3 linked regions of the Daphnia pulex genome follow. The protein of the gene in region 3 interacts with the protein of the main gene of each other region in a pairwise test. Links are inferred from orthologs where the notes say so. Each region holds a gene or a part of one and is shown on either strand. Other genes may lie near its edges.

What was found.
Region 1: the proteins of PAN2-PAN3 deadenylation complex subunit pan3-like (region 3) and PAN2-PAN3 deadenylation complex catalytic subunit PAN2-like interact in binary tests that used the Drosophila melanogaster proteins (3 or more experiments, as listed by UniProt). The link is inferred for Daphnia pulex from reciprocal best matches to the Drosophila melanogaster genes PAN3 and PAN2.
Region 2: the proteins of PAN2-PAN3 deadenylation complex subunit pan3-like (region 3) and cyclin-K-like interact in a two-hybrid assay, tested with the Drosophila melanogaster proteins (3 studies listed by BioGRID). The link is inferred for Daphnia pulex from reciprocal best matches to the Drosophila melanogaster genes PAN3 and CycK.

What each region holds. Positions count from the first base shown.
Region 1 is NC_060021.1:6,585,391-6,589,493, forward strand, and holds the start of PAN2-PAN3 deadenylation complex catalytic subunit PAN2-like, read right to left. Parts: upstream 2,912-4,103; 5' UTR 2,865-2,911; coding exon 2,569-2,864; intron 2,472-2,568; coding exon 2,351-2,471; intron 2,283-2,350; coding exon 2,222-2,282; intron 2,165-2,221; coding exon 2,029-2,164; intron 1,967-2,028; coding exon 1,302-1,966; intron 1,237-1,301; coding exon 1,076-1,236; intron 1,014-1,075; coding exon 747-1,013; intron 676-746; coding exon 375-675; intron 301-374; coding exon 107-300; intron 47-106; coding exon 1-46. Other genes in the region: DNA-directed RNA polymerase III subunit RPC1-like, read left to right, coding at 3,136-3,179, 3,258-3,393, 3,451-4,103. UniProt on the Drosophila melanogaster protein: Catalytic subunit of the poly(A)-nuclease (PAN) deadenylation complex, one of two cytoplasmic mRNA deadenylases involved in general and miRNA-mediated mRNA turnover.
Region 2 is NC_060021.1:10,001,296-10,005,323, forward strand, and holds cyclin-K-like, read right to left. Parts: upstream 2,534-4,028; 5' UTR 2,519-2,533; coding exon 2,397-2,518; exon of another isoform or gene 2,312-2,396; coding exon 2,054-2,311; intron 1,985-2,053; coding exon 1,870-1,984; intron 1,773-1,869; coding exon 1,667-1,772; intron 1,603-1,666; coding exon 1,545-1,602; intron 1,456-1,544; coding exon 1,283-1,455; intron 1,211-1,282; coding exon 675-1,210; 3' UTR 648-674; downstream 1-647. Other genes in the region: GTPase Obg-like, read left to right, coding at 33-171, 234-628.
Region 3 is NC_060025.1:5,199,310-5,203,677, forward strand, and holds the start of PAN2-PAN3 deadenylation complex subunit pan3-like, read right to left. Parts: upstream 2,803-4,368; 5' UTR 2,566-2,802; coding exon 2,185-2,565; intron 2,122-2,184; coding exon 1,797-2,121; intron 1,650-1,796; coding exon 1,491-1,649; intron 1,376-1,490; coding exon 1,097-1,375; intron 1,018-1,096; coding exon 800-1,017; intron 718-799; coding exon 578-717; intron 475-577; coding exon 274-474; intron 206-273; coding exon 43-205; intron 1-42. UniProt on the Drosophila melanogaster protein: Regulatory subunit of the poly(A)-nuclease (PAN) deadenylation complex, one of two cytoplasmic mRNA deadenylases involved in general and miRNA-mediated mRNA turnover.

The sequences.
Region 1 (4,103 bases), on a different chromosome or scaffold from region 3:
CTTCTGTCAAATCTGATCCATCGAATAGTTCAGGGTCTAAAAAACACTGAGTAAACGAATTATTAGTTTCGTGTTAAACTGTGCATTATGAATATTAAAAGTTTACTTGTAGTTGATCTGACCAAAATCGAAAACCTTTATAGGTATCGTTAGCACAGGACAGAGCAAGAACTGGCGGTAATGTTAGACAACGTCTTCTTTGCTGAGTTGCTTGATATTTTTGACAAACTTCACACCAGGCCGGAGTCACACTTGCTACGTCAAAACTCTTTTCAAGTACATGTTCGAAGCTGTGTTCATCTATTGATCGAGTGAGTAAAATATAGACAAAGTGCCTTGTAAATTAGGTATAATAAAAAATATATGTCACTAACCCTCCACATCTTGCAGAGTAAGGGAAGAGAGAAGCACAGGCGAAGTTTTAGAATTTTCGCTTCCACATTTTGTGCAGCGGCTAATCTGCTCTTGTTCAACACCAAACAGTTTAGAGATAGGAGACACTGGTGACAGACCATCCTCAGAAGGTGAAACATCTCTTTCCGGTTTAATAGAATTTTCCGTACCTTCTCCGTTAAATTCTACTAAATTACTTGTAATTGTGGTCGATTCTTTTGTTATCTTGCTTTGAGGCAAGGTTTCGCTGCTAAGTTGTTGAAGAATAAAACGAGCCCAGCTCTGTAACATTAAATTTACAAATATTTTGAATCAGTGTCACAAAGAGAAACTAATATATAACTGAAAATTACCTGAGCAAGCCTAGGAAGTGTACTTTTTATCTTTATTTCAGGATGATTTTCTGCCATCAACAGTCCCATTGCCGAAGCTTCGGGAAGAGTGCGGAAAGCCCGAAGAAAATTAGATGGTTGGACTGTAACTGGAGTACTAGTAGGATCTTGATTTCTACCAACATCCAGCATATGAAAAAGGAATGACAGCTCACAGGCAAGACAAAATTCTCGGTTGCAGGAATGCTCAAGAAGACAATGACGTAATTCCGGAATGAAATATAACACCTTCAATTAAGAAACGAACAGTCAAAATGCACAGATCAAAATGTAAGCAATCAGACTCATACCTGCAGCAAAGAGTTTGCATATGAATAAGGAAGTGTATTATCCAAACCGCAGAGGGGCGTGGAATTGTAACGAGCTAACTCATTTTCGTCAAGGCCACCCTTTGTGTACCTCATCTCGATATGACGATATCGTTTCCACACTTGATAGCATTCAGTATCTTCTGTAAGGGAAATTGGCTAAAAATGGTGAAAACATAAAAATTGTGAAAAATTAATTCAGACTAACCCTTTGAATGTGTTGAATCCGTTCCCGAATGTTTCTGACCACGTTGTGTTCGTTTTTCGGCTGAGTAGGCCACTTGATTAGGTCTATGATCAGCTGGACTTGGAGCATAACCAATAGTGCCTACCATGCGCATATTTGACAGAATAGCATGATCAATAGGTGGAACTTTACGGAATCTCCTGCGGGTAAACTGTTCCGGCCAATCTGATAGCAGCGGCGAATTGTGTTCTAAGGGGAAAGGGATTGAAGTGAGTGGCGTCGTAGTATCGTCCATGGCGATCGAAACCGGAAGGGATTCTACTGGATCGGCAAATTCCGTCGGTCGAGAAAAGCTGTTAAATAAAGCTGATGCGTTTGATGCAAAGGTGTGAACATATCCACCGGCATCCCCCACAGCTAAGCATTGGCAAGAAGATGAAACTTCAAGAGCCATGCACATAGCACCCTCGTTATTCACTTGGAAAAGTTGAAGAGCTGAAGATGCAGGAGCAGCTGCATCAAGAACCTGTAACTGTCCCATGGCAGAGATAACCGCCAATTGGGACGAGAATGCTGGTAAGAACCGCAATAGAAATGGTTCTCCGACCACAGGAACTGGACTGAGAGCTCGTAACATTCTAACATCGTAAATTTTCAAAAAGCGATCCGAAACCACACCTCCCTGCCTATTTAATAAGTACAACTGGATAATTTAACTTACTTCTGTTATATAATATAGAAAAATTACCTGGATGAAAACCCACAAGTCACAATCAAGTTGTTATGAACATCAAAATCTGAAAGGCTTTCAGTATGTGCTACAAATTTATGCTCTTCACGTAAAGTTCGAGGATCTCTTAATGATACGCATCCACTAGCGTCACCTAGTTATTTAAGGAAGGATGAATTTTTATTTGTGTATTTCATAAGAATTTTTGTACCTGAGCAGATAAATCTAGGGTGTCGTCTCAGAATTGCACATCCCTTTTCTCCTACATCAAACTAATAAACCAATAGAAATATATTTATCATAAATGTTATGGAGGTTATGGTTTTTAACTTCACTTTACTTTTGTTGTTTCCTTCGCTGTCACAAGGTCAAATTCTACTACCAGCGGTTGGTGTCCTCCAAGTAGAACTGTTGTGGGCCCTGTTTGTAACAAGCATTGTAGATCTTCACAAGTACTTGAGCTAGAAGAAGTTTATATTAAATTGTTATTTTTATGATATATTGTGGATGATTTTCTTACGTAAACAATTTAGAAAATTTACACTCAATTATGCAAACCTGTAAGTGAATAATGGGACACCTCTCCTTTGTTGGCATCTAAGAGTGTTTGGGGTTACTATAAGTAAACCAGCATCAAAAGAAATCATCTGTCTGACTTCTTGAGATGCATGAACTTGGAATGATGTGTATTTGTGTAGAGAAGAGCCATAATAACTAGTGACATGTCCTCCTTGATTACCAACCCAAAGCAGCTCTTCCTGAAGGTCCCAATGAATTGCGGACACACCAAATCTATCTCCACCATCAATTAAAATCGAAGATTTCTCTGAAAAAACGCCAACATTGAAATCCATCTTTCAACTTCAAGACATTTCGTTTCGTTTTGCTGTAAAGTGCCACCTAGGGGCTGCGTTTGTTAACTTACTTAGATAGTCAACATAGTCAACACTAGTTGACGACGAATTCATTACGAAAAGAAAAAAAGCTCATCACTCTTTAGTCTTTTCCTGCCATCAATAATTCGTCTGATCGATGCCGGTGTAACACGTGCTTTTTATTTCTTCATTTCAATTATTTTATCATTTTAAACTATTTCAAGTGGATGATTGAAAACTAGTTTTAACGATGGTGAAGGAGCAATACCGTGAGACTGACGTTATTAGAAAAATGTAAGTTTTTTTAACACTCAAAATTCTAATTCACATTAGTATAGGTATAGAAGATTAAATACGATTATGTACTTTTAGAGCAAGAGTAAGCTTTGGAATTGAAAGTCCGCAACAAATACAACAGCAATCTCACATTCAAGTGGTAGCTCAGAATTTGTATAACCGAGATGCTGGACGAACACCTATGCAGTATGGAATGTTGGACAGAAGAATGGTAATTTACTCTTTAAATATTTAAAGAGATCCACACTTAACTGCTATTTTTTCATAGGGGATGAGTGTTAAAGATGCAATATGTGGTACTTGCGGAAAAGGGCTGACAGAATGTGTAGGCCATTTTGGTTACATTGATTTGGAACTTCCAGTTTTCCATGTTGGATACTTCAAGGCTGTAATTACTATCTTGCAAACAATTTGCAAATCTTGCTCTCATGTAATGCTTAATGAAAAGATGAGAAAAATTTACAGAGCCAAACTAAAGGGTTCAAAAATACCTTATCTAAATAAGAAAGCACTGAGGAAGCAAATTCAAGAAGTATGCAAAAAAGTAACACGCTGCCCAAACTGCAATGACATCAATGGCATGGTGAAAAAGTGTGGCATGCTGAAGATATCCCATGAAAAATTTAGAAGTATCAAGAAAGACAACGTTATTTTAAAAAATGAGTTAGTGGCTTATGAGAATGCTGTGCAGTTCAACAAGGAGATTGAACCAATGTTGTCATCTGGCTTGGTTAAAATGTTAAATCCACTTGAAGTACTTCATCTGTTTGAGAGAATTCCAGACGAAGATATCCAATTTTTGGTGATGAATCCTGAACATGGGCATCCAAAGGACATGATTCTCACCCGTGTTCCAGTTCCTCCTGTTTGCATTCGACCTTCTGTAGTGTCCGATTTGAAATCGGGGACAAACGAGGATGA
Region 2 (4,028 bases), on a different chromosome or scaffold from region 3:
TCGCATTGATTTGAAATAATTATCCTTTGAAGATCGGACTTCCAAATGCTGGGAAATCTACTTTCCTACGGTCTATCTCTCGTGCTAGACCTAAGGTAGCTCCATATCCATTCACCACATTGCAGCCACACGTAGGAGTTGTAAAATACGACGACCTCCAACAAGTGACTGGTATCTGAGATCAACTTTTTTTTTATATTGATTTTTTACAATTTTATTTGTGTCTCAAATAGTTGCAGACATTCCGGGATTGATCGCCGGGGCGCACCGCAATCGAGGATTGGGAATTGCATTTCTGCGTCATATTGAACGGTGCCTTTGTTTGCTATATGTCGTGGATGCCTCGTTGCCTGAACCATGGCAGCAACTTGAAGTCCTCCGATATGAACTGGAACAGTACGATCCACATCTACTCGAAAGACCCTCTGGTGTTTTAGCCAACAAGATGGACTTGCCCCAATCAACCATAAACCTCAAAGAACTAAAGCAGTATGTTGAAAAAATTAATCTACCTCTCTTCCCTGTTTCAGCCATGAACAATGTAGGAGTTCTTCCTATTCTGCATTTTGTTCGACAGTTGTATGATAGTTCTACTACTAAAGAGAATTTTGATGAAAAAGAACAATAAAATTTAACTTAGAAATTGCTAAGACCTAAAGTTATATTTCAAACTTTTAATATGGGCGAGGCGGAGGAGGAAGTGGTTGTGATGAAGTTGGCGTAGGAGGATACACTTGCCCAGGGAAAGAAGGATATGTTGGGTAAAAGGGAGCTGATTGCGTTGGCGGAAGCGGAGGAGGGTAAACTTGTGGTGGAGTCGGAGGAACAGGGGGATTCGCTGTAGGAGGTATCATAGGATAACCTGGATATGGAAACGAATGTCCGACTGGTGGTGGTGGAAGTGGATGAGGCACATTGATAGGCGGAGCCACGTTTATGTTGGGTGGAACGCCAACAGGTAAAGAATTAGTATTGGTGACCCCCATTGCGTAATTCACGTATCCCGCTGCCGCAGCTACTTCGACTTTAGGTTGCATAGCGTCTAATCGTTGATCGAATCCTCCAGCGCTACGCCCACTAACTGGCTTCGTGGGAGTCGTAATTGGTAAAACAGGCTGTACTTTCGTCGGAACGAGTCCCGCGTTCCCTTGAGGGGAATCTGATCGTGCAGGCTGTTGGGAATATAAATCTAATACTTGGTGACAGATATCTAGAAAAGAATAAAATTATTCCAGCGTTAGTAAGAAGAAAAAAATATAACGTCCGATAAGTGAGAGAATACCTTCCAGTATTTCTAAACTGATGTCCTCTACAAACATATCCCACCATCGTATATGCCGTGGCTGTCTACCGCTCCAATCCGTTATTTCAAATTTACTTAATTTCCCAGCCAAATACATGAGAGCGATGGCAATCACTTCTGGTTCCCATTGTAAACATAATGTGGTGCATAAGCTAAAATAACAAAATATAGTAAGTGTAGGTAAAATCAGATTAACACAGCAAAAACAATAATTGCTTATCAGAGCACGGCTTTTGCTCACCTATCATTAACAAATGTCCATGCCATCTGCACCATTTTTTGAAGTTTGGATTTATCTCCTTCAGAAATTAATCAATAGTATAATTTAAAATCAGTGATTTTGGAAGATAAAACTCTGCTTACCTTTAAGGGATTTGGCATACTTTATAAGGTAACCGTATGGATGTTCAACTTGAAGGTCAAATCTTATGGTCTGCAGTAAAATTCTTTCAAGTGTCATTACCTCTTCCTTTTATAAATAAGTGAAAGAAAACATTATGTTTGAGACCAAACTATAGAATACAAGAGATATAGTTAGAGAAAGATATAGCAATTCAAGATGTTACCTTGGCATCTTCACCAAATTGTTGAAACTGCGCTTCTGACAATGACGCTTTTGCAACTTTAATAATGTCTTTGCACTTTTTGGGTGTTTCTTCAACTTTGCCAGCAAGGAACAGACTGTAAAGAAATTTAAAGGACATTAGCATGAATCATTATGCAAATATGCTATTCAAGTATAAAAGGTACCAGCAGCATGCAGTGACATATCGAGGAAACTCTTTGAAAGAGTGAAACATGTAGAATCGATGGAAGTAAACCACTCCAGTTGCCATTGTGTCATAACGAAGTCCCATTTTTGTTCCAGTATCAATAATAAAACGTGCTCCTTCTTTCCGGTAGCGAGACTCCGTTTCAAAATCGATGCCATCGTGAATAGAAGGAGTCTCCCTTTTCAGATCTTTCTTTTCGTAGTACCAGCACGGCATGTCAGCGGAGGTGAAAAACCTAAATAGCTTTTATATGAATGATAACTAAAAAAATAACTAAAAATAAAGTGAATTGTAGTTAAATAACTGAAAATCAAGATTACAAGCTCTTTTGAGAAATTCTATGAGCTTGCTCGTTAAATCTCAGCTTGATGTTAAATGCCAACACTTGACAGCTGTAACTATTATAATGCTGTCTGCTTCGTTTCGTAGTTGGTAGCGACATCTGTACTTCGACTAATCTACTTCATTCCACATTTTATTTGCCACGCCCATTTGCAAATATATGGAACGCCATCTAGACGCCATCTCAGAATCCCCCGAAAAAACAAGACTGTTGACGAAATATGGCCTTTCGAAATACAAATCCTCCCAAGTTTTATGCAATAAAAAATAACTTCAACAGAATTATACAACTCGTCAACTTTTATCTCCATGTTTAGTCCCCTATTTGAAAGGCTAGAGTTAATATAGAATCAGAGAAACTGTCCGCGAAATAAAATGAGAAATTAAAAACTGGCAGATCCTTCTAGTTAATCGCCTAGTAAACCAAATGCAACTACATGTTGGAGGACCAAGGGTTTAGGAATAGCAATACCATTCGAGACGGAAATCGCCCTTGTTACGAAACATATGCGCAGTCTCACCTCTAATACAGTGTGTCTTTAAATTATGGCTCCTGCGGACACGGGTATATTAATAGTGCCAAGCGGGAAAAAAAGTACAGGTCAGGAGCTATATTCCACGCACCCGATGTCGGAAAAAGAGGACATACCCAATTAAAAAGCTATCACAACTAAGCAAATCAACAACATTGCTAGGTGTGATCCTTAATATTAATCATCGCAAGTTCACATGTGGGTTTAAATTTTCCAAATTTGAGTGCGGATTTCTGTCGAACAAACACACGCTATGTGCAATGTCTATTGCGAATTGCTTTATTTTTTCGTGTGCATTGAAATGTTCGGGTGTACGGATATAAAAAGAATCAACCGCGAACTATATGGAAGAAGCACCATTTGCCACGTGAAAGTATCCGAAGACTATCCACTGAATTTCGATCTGTGGCGGTTTCATTATACTACTAGGTTCGTACCAGCCCAGGGGCTAGAGTTGGCCGGCAAACCTTATGCTTGAATTAAGCGCATTCCCAATTCGTCGTGTGCCAGATTGTCCGCAGGGATTGCGCGTCCAGTGACCTGGAAAAAGAAAAAAGAAAAAAAAATCTTCTTTTATTTTATTATTTATTTTTTTTTTCTGACTAGGTTGTGTTGTTGTGCCCACCTGGGCAAAGTACAAGCGAACGCTCTCACGTTTTACTGTGCTATATATGATCAGACATGTGGATGCGTACGTGCTGTTTTACCCCCAAAACTATCGGCCAGCATTTAAGTATCAACACGCAATACGGAAGTTTGTCTGAAACATGGCAATCACAATGTGAAACTGTATACTATCCATCACCCAAATATAGATGGTCTACACAGTTTCAATCTGTTGGAATTGTGCGGCTTTTATACTGGACACCAATTCATATTGCATATACACACAGTGGTCAAGAAGAACCTACATGGTTGTCGTCCAGCAACACCAGACGGTTTTCTATATTCTTTTCAACCAAACAAAAAATTCGCTTTAGGCATCTTGCAAAACTGGTCACGTGGGCTGATCAAAAGGCCAGTGATGCGCGCAATCGGCCACTCACACGAACACGGTAGACATCTCAGCAGCAGCAG
Region 3 (4,368 bases):
AATAATACACTTCAATTCTTTCTCAAATTATGAAGTCCTTACTTTGTCATGAGAAGCAGTATCTAGTCGATTGAGACATGCGACAATGTGGGCCAAATCGACCCATGGTCGTCCATCATCCGTACAAGGATGTAACATGTAGTCGCGAAATAATTTAAGCAAATATCGGTCTCCCGTTTCTGACCATGTCGAATCCAAATTTAACCTTAAACATTCAATAAAGTTTACTTCGATAGGTAACTAGACTAACTTAACCAATTTAATTTGCCTTACTCTGGACGATCAACAACGGTTCCCAATTTTCCAAGCAAACGAAATAACCGGCCATTATCCAATTCTCTGGCTAGCTGATCTTCTAGATAGTCGGCATGCAGAGTGGCGGCTTCTAACTGGCTGAAAAACCTTGCTCCAATCATTGGCATCACTTCCTGTATGTTTTTCGATCTTGAACCTTGCGTAGTGGAGAGCAGATACCTAACGAAATCATAGTTCAGTGGGCAGTTTTACAGAGTATAGATAGTTCTAACCCAGATTGCAGTTTTTAACGTATCTACATATAATATTAAAAAATACTCACATCACCAAATTGCGCAGATCTGAAGAATAATTTTTATTGATGATATCCATAGATGTAGAGACATTATCCCTTTGAAGTGCCAACAACGAATTACAAGCCAGGGCAAGAATAAGTTTACCCAAGGCCAAAAGGTCTTCTTGCTTCATTTTTAGTCATAAATGATGACAGTTAAACATCAACTATATAACAATAAGTATGTTACAAAAGGAAAATTTTACATACCTGATAATGAGGAAGCAAAGCTGTGATGTTGGAAGAACTAGAGTCATAGGTAAGTACATCAAAAATTCCACCACCGCACAAACGCAAACGGCCTCTTGAAGTTATAAGTACTTTAGATGGATCTAATGCTCTTACAGCCAAACCAGCAGAATGTACTGATCTCAACGCCGAGCACAATTCGATTATGTAACTCCAAAGTAAAGATTCAGGTAACACACCTTGCAAAAACGCGGAGGCATCAAAAATAAAATAAAATACTCAATAAAATAATAATGATAATGAAAACACAAAAACAACCTTTGCCAGCTTGTTGCTGCAGCATTCTGTTTTTCTGCATTGTATATGGACGCGGAGCAGATGGGTCACTGCTGAATGGATCAAGGTGTGGAGCAGTCGAAGCCAAATACTTAGTCATAAGTGTTTCAGCTCCAGGGTAATAATCATATGCAAAAACTATAGAATGGTCACCGAAGGCCTTGGTAGTGAATGCTTCTCGCAAAGTCACTAAATGACACTGCTGCACTTTCCTCCATAACTCTACCATTGACATACATTTAGCACTTGTCACTCTGTAACCTAAAGATATTATAAACAATAATAATACTCCAATAAATCTCAATACTTCTTTTTTGTAAGGTTATATATTAGGTAAGAAGATTCAGTTTAAAGTTTTTATTCATTTAAATATTACCATGAATCCTTTTCAAGCAATATCTCATGCCGGTTCTGCTATTTGATGCTTTATATGTAGATGTAATTAAGCCATAAGTGTTAGACTTGACAGCATGATTCAAAGTGTGGGTTTCAAGGGGGACCAACTCATGATAGTGATCAACTTCCGTTGGCAAATCTAATTAAAAGAATGTATGCAATTTAGATACTTCATAAAGTTAATGTATGTTTGTAATAAAATTGATTGCTACAATCAAACAGCTCAGATAAAGTGTTTCTTAAATAATAAAATATAAACTTAGGACATGAAATAAGTTGGCTATACCTGGAAACAAAGCAGGGTCTGATATAGATAATGCAACTGAATTTCTTTGAAGTAAGTCAGCTCTTATATCTTCATTCATAAAAAAAGAAGATCTCTGCTGACCACTACAGCTCTGTAAAAAACTGGAAGGTCCACTATAAACTGAGTACATCTGATTTTGTGATGTTGAGACCAATTGATTTGGTGATTGAATTCTTCTATTTAAAAGAGAAGTGTGAGACATTTTTTCAGTAATTTGACTGTGTTTTCCAATTATTGGTTCTTCTACAGTGGGTTTCACATTTTCATCTGGCGTGTAGTAATAAGTGGTACCTCCAACATTTTCCTGAGTTGTGCAAAACAACTTATTAGATACAACAATAGATTACAATGAACAGAACACACATACCTCAAAAAGGGACGAATTAGAACCTCCAGCTATTTGCAAATCTGGTGATATGGGTAACTCTTGTGATTTCTGCACGTATTCATCTTTAATTAAAATTGCAGAATTAGACAACGGAATTGTGTTTACATTCTTCCCAAATGATTGATGTAAGCAATTACTCTCTATAACTGACAAACTAAACTCTGTCGAATTTGAAGCAGTGGAACTGACTGAGCGAACTGGAGATGAAAATGAATTCAATGGAAATGTAGGTGAAACGCTTGATCGAGAAACTGAGTTGTGCAAAAACTGACAATCATTTCCATAAAAACAAGTTCCAGAGGCGGCAAAATAGCGACACACAACAGGCTTACGTGAATGGCTAATTATATCGTCCATCATAAACCTTTTTAAGACAATTCTCTGTCCAGGCCAATAACGACCAAACCAATATTAAGATTCTGCCCCTCAGAGTCAAACACTATTCGCAAATGATATACACTGATACACTTTACAATGTACAGAAGACTATAACAATGAAGAGAATGTAATTTCTACGAAAAATAATATAGGCCTATTTCCTATTCGTCGAGCTCGACAAACCAACAAACCACTTCAACGATTAGCAGTTGTTTTATTCAACAGAGGGCGAAAAGTACCATTTACTTGACCATACTGACTGCATGCTGTTGCTGGCTGACTGATGCTGTACTGCTTGGTTGAAGCCGAGTGCCACGAAAGATGTCGTAGCATGATGGACACAAATGAAGGCGTACTTGATGGACTTCATGCACAACCGGCACCATGACCTGCACAACCGTCAAAACTTTCTATTACCACGACATCTATCGTGGGAATAATAAATCGATGATCGCAGGTTGCCTGAAAGTTTATTGAGCAGTTGGACGGTTGCAACCAGTTTCGCCACTTTTTTTCCGCCCCAGTTTCGTCGAGTTCGGCACCACTTTTTTCCGTTTCAGCAGAGTTATAGATGTATGGTAGAACCATTTATAAGGAAAGGCCTTCCATTGCCTTTTCCTCCTGGAAGTGTTCTGGCTGGAGACCTTAGTTACAGAGCCACAGCGGGTGTGTTGGGAAACATATTTTTTTTCCAGTACTAAAATTAAAAAAGATTCAGTAGATGGCCGCTGGCGCTGACAATTAGGTCTAAATCGATACGTAAGCACATATTTCCACTTTCGATTCGCGATATTGGCTGCAACTTTAGAAAAAAATTTTTAGAGGAAAATTTTACAGGCAGTGGTTCTACCATCATCTATAGCTCTGGTTTCAACACTGTATTTGTCTGTTTGCACCACTGCCGTATTGATAGCTTGCTTTGGCCTCATAAAGTTTGGTCAGCTTAATGCAGCAGGTAATTCTCACATTTTAAAATTAATACAATATTTCAAAATTAACTGCGTCAGCGGCATGGCCTTTTTGCTTCCTCGAGCTCCGGAAGCTTTGCCTTACTTTGCGATAGGGGCGGTCCTGAAGGGGGAGAACTACTGGGAAATGCTTCCGGAGCTCGCCGAAAGGAGCAGCGCAGTCGAATTCGTCGTCTGAAGAGGGGGAGGGGGCAAAATGTCGACTGCTGGACTTTACACAGAGTGGCCCATCTCCTTATCACTGCTAGCGACTGGATATTGGATCCAGAAGTGTTTGGAAAGAATGATCAGTTATGGCCAACTAATATTGATCTTTTTGCGTTGCCCTGGAATAGAGTGGTTCGAGGATGCCATCTTGGATGGGACATTTCCCAGTTTGGTGCAACCTCAAACCAAAAACCATTGACATTGTCCATAAGAAAGTGTACGAATTGAAAGACAAAGGGAGAGAGAAAAAAAGAGGGACCGACCCCTTTCTTTCCCACTCCATTCTTCCCTTCCTTGACTGTCCTTCTTTTCGTACCCTTTTCTTATGGACAACGTCAATGCTTTTGGGTTGTGGTTGCACCAAATTGGGAAAAGTCCCATCCAAGATGGCAACCTTCCTTCAACCCCCACCAAGCCGCGTTTGTCTTTCCTCCCTTTTCTCCAATTTTTCGTTGAAAAAATAAGAAGGGAAAAAGCAACCGTTGTATTTGTTTGTCCGGTCTGAACCAGCCAACCCTGGTACCCGTTGTTTCTAGAGCTTTGCTCCGACCAACCACGGCTCCTGCGATCGGAGTGCTGTTTACTGGCCTAGCCGTTGAACGATCCGCAT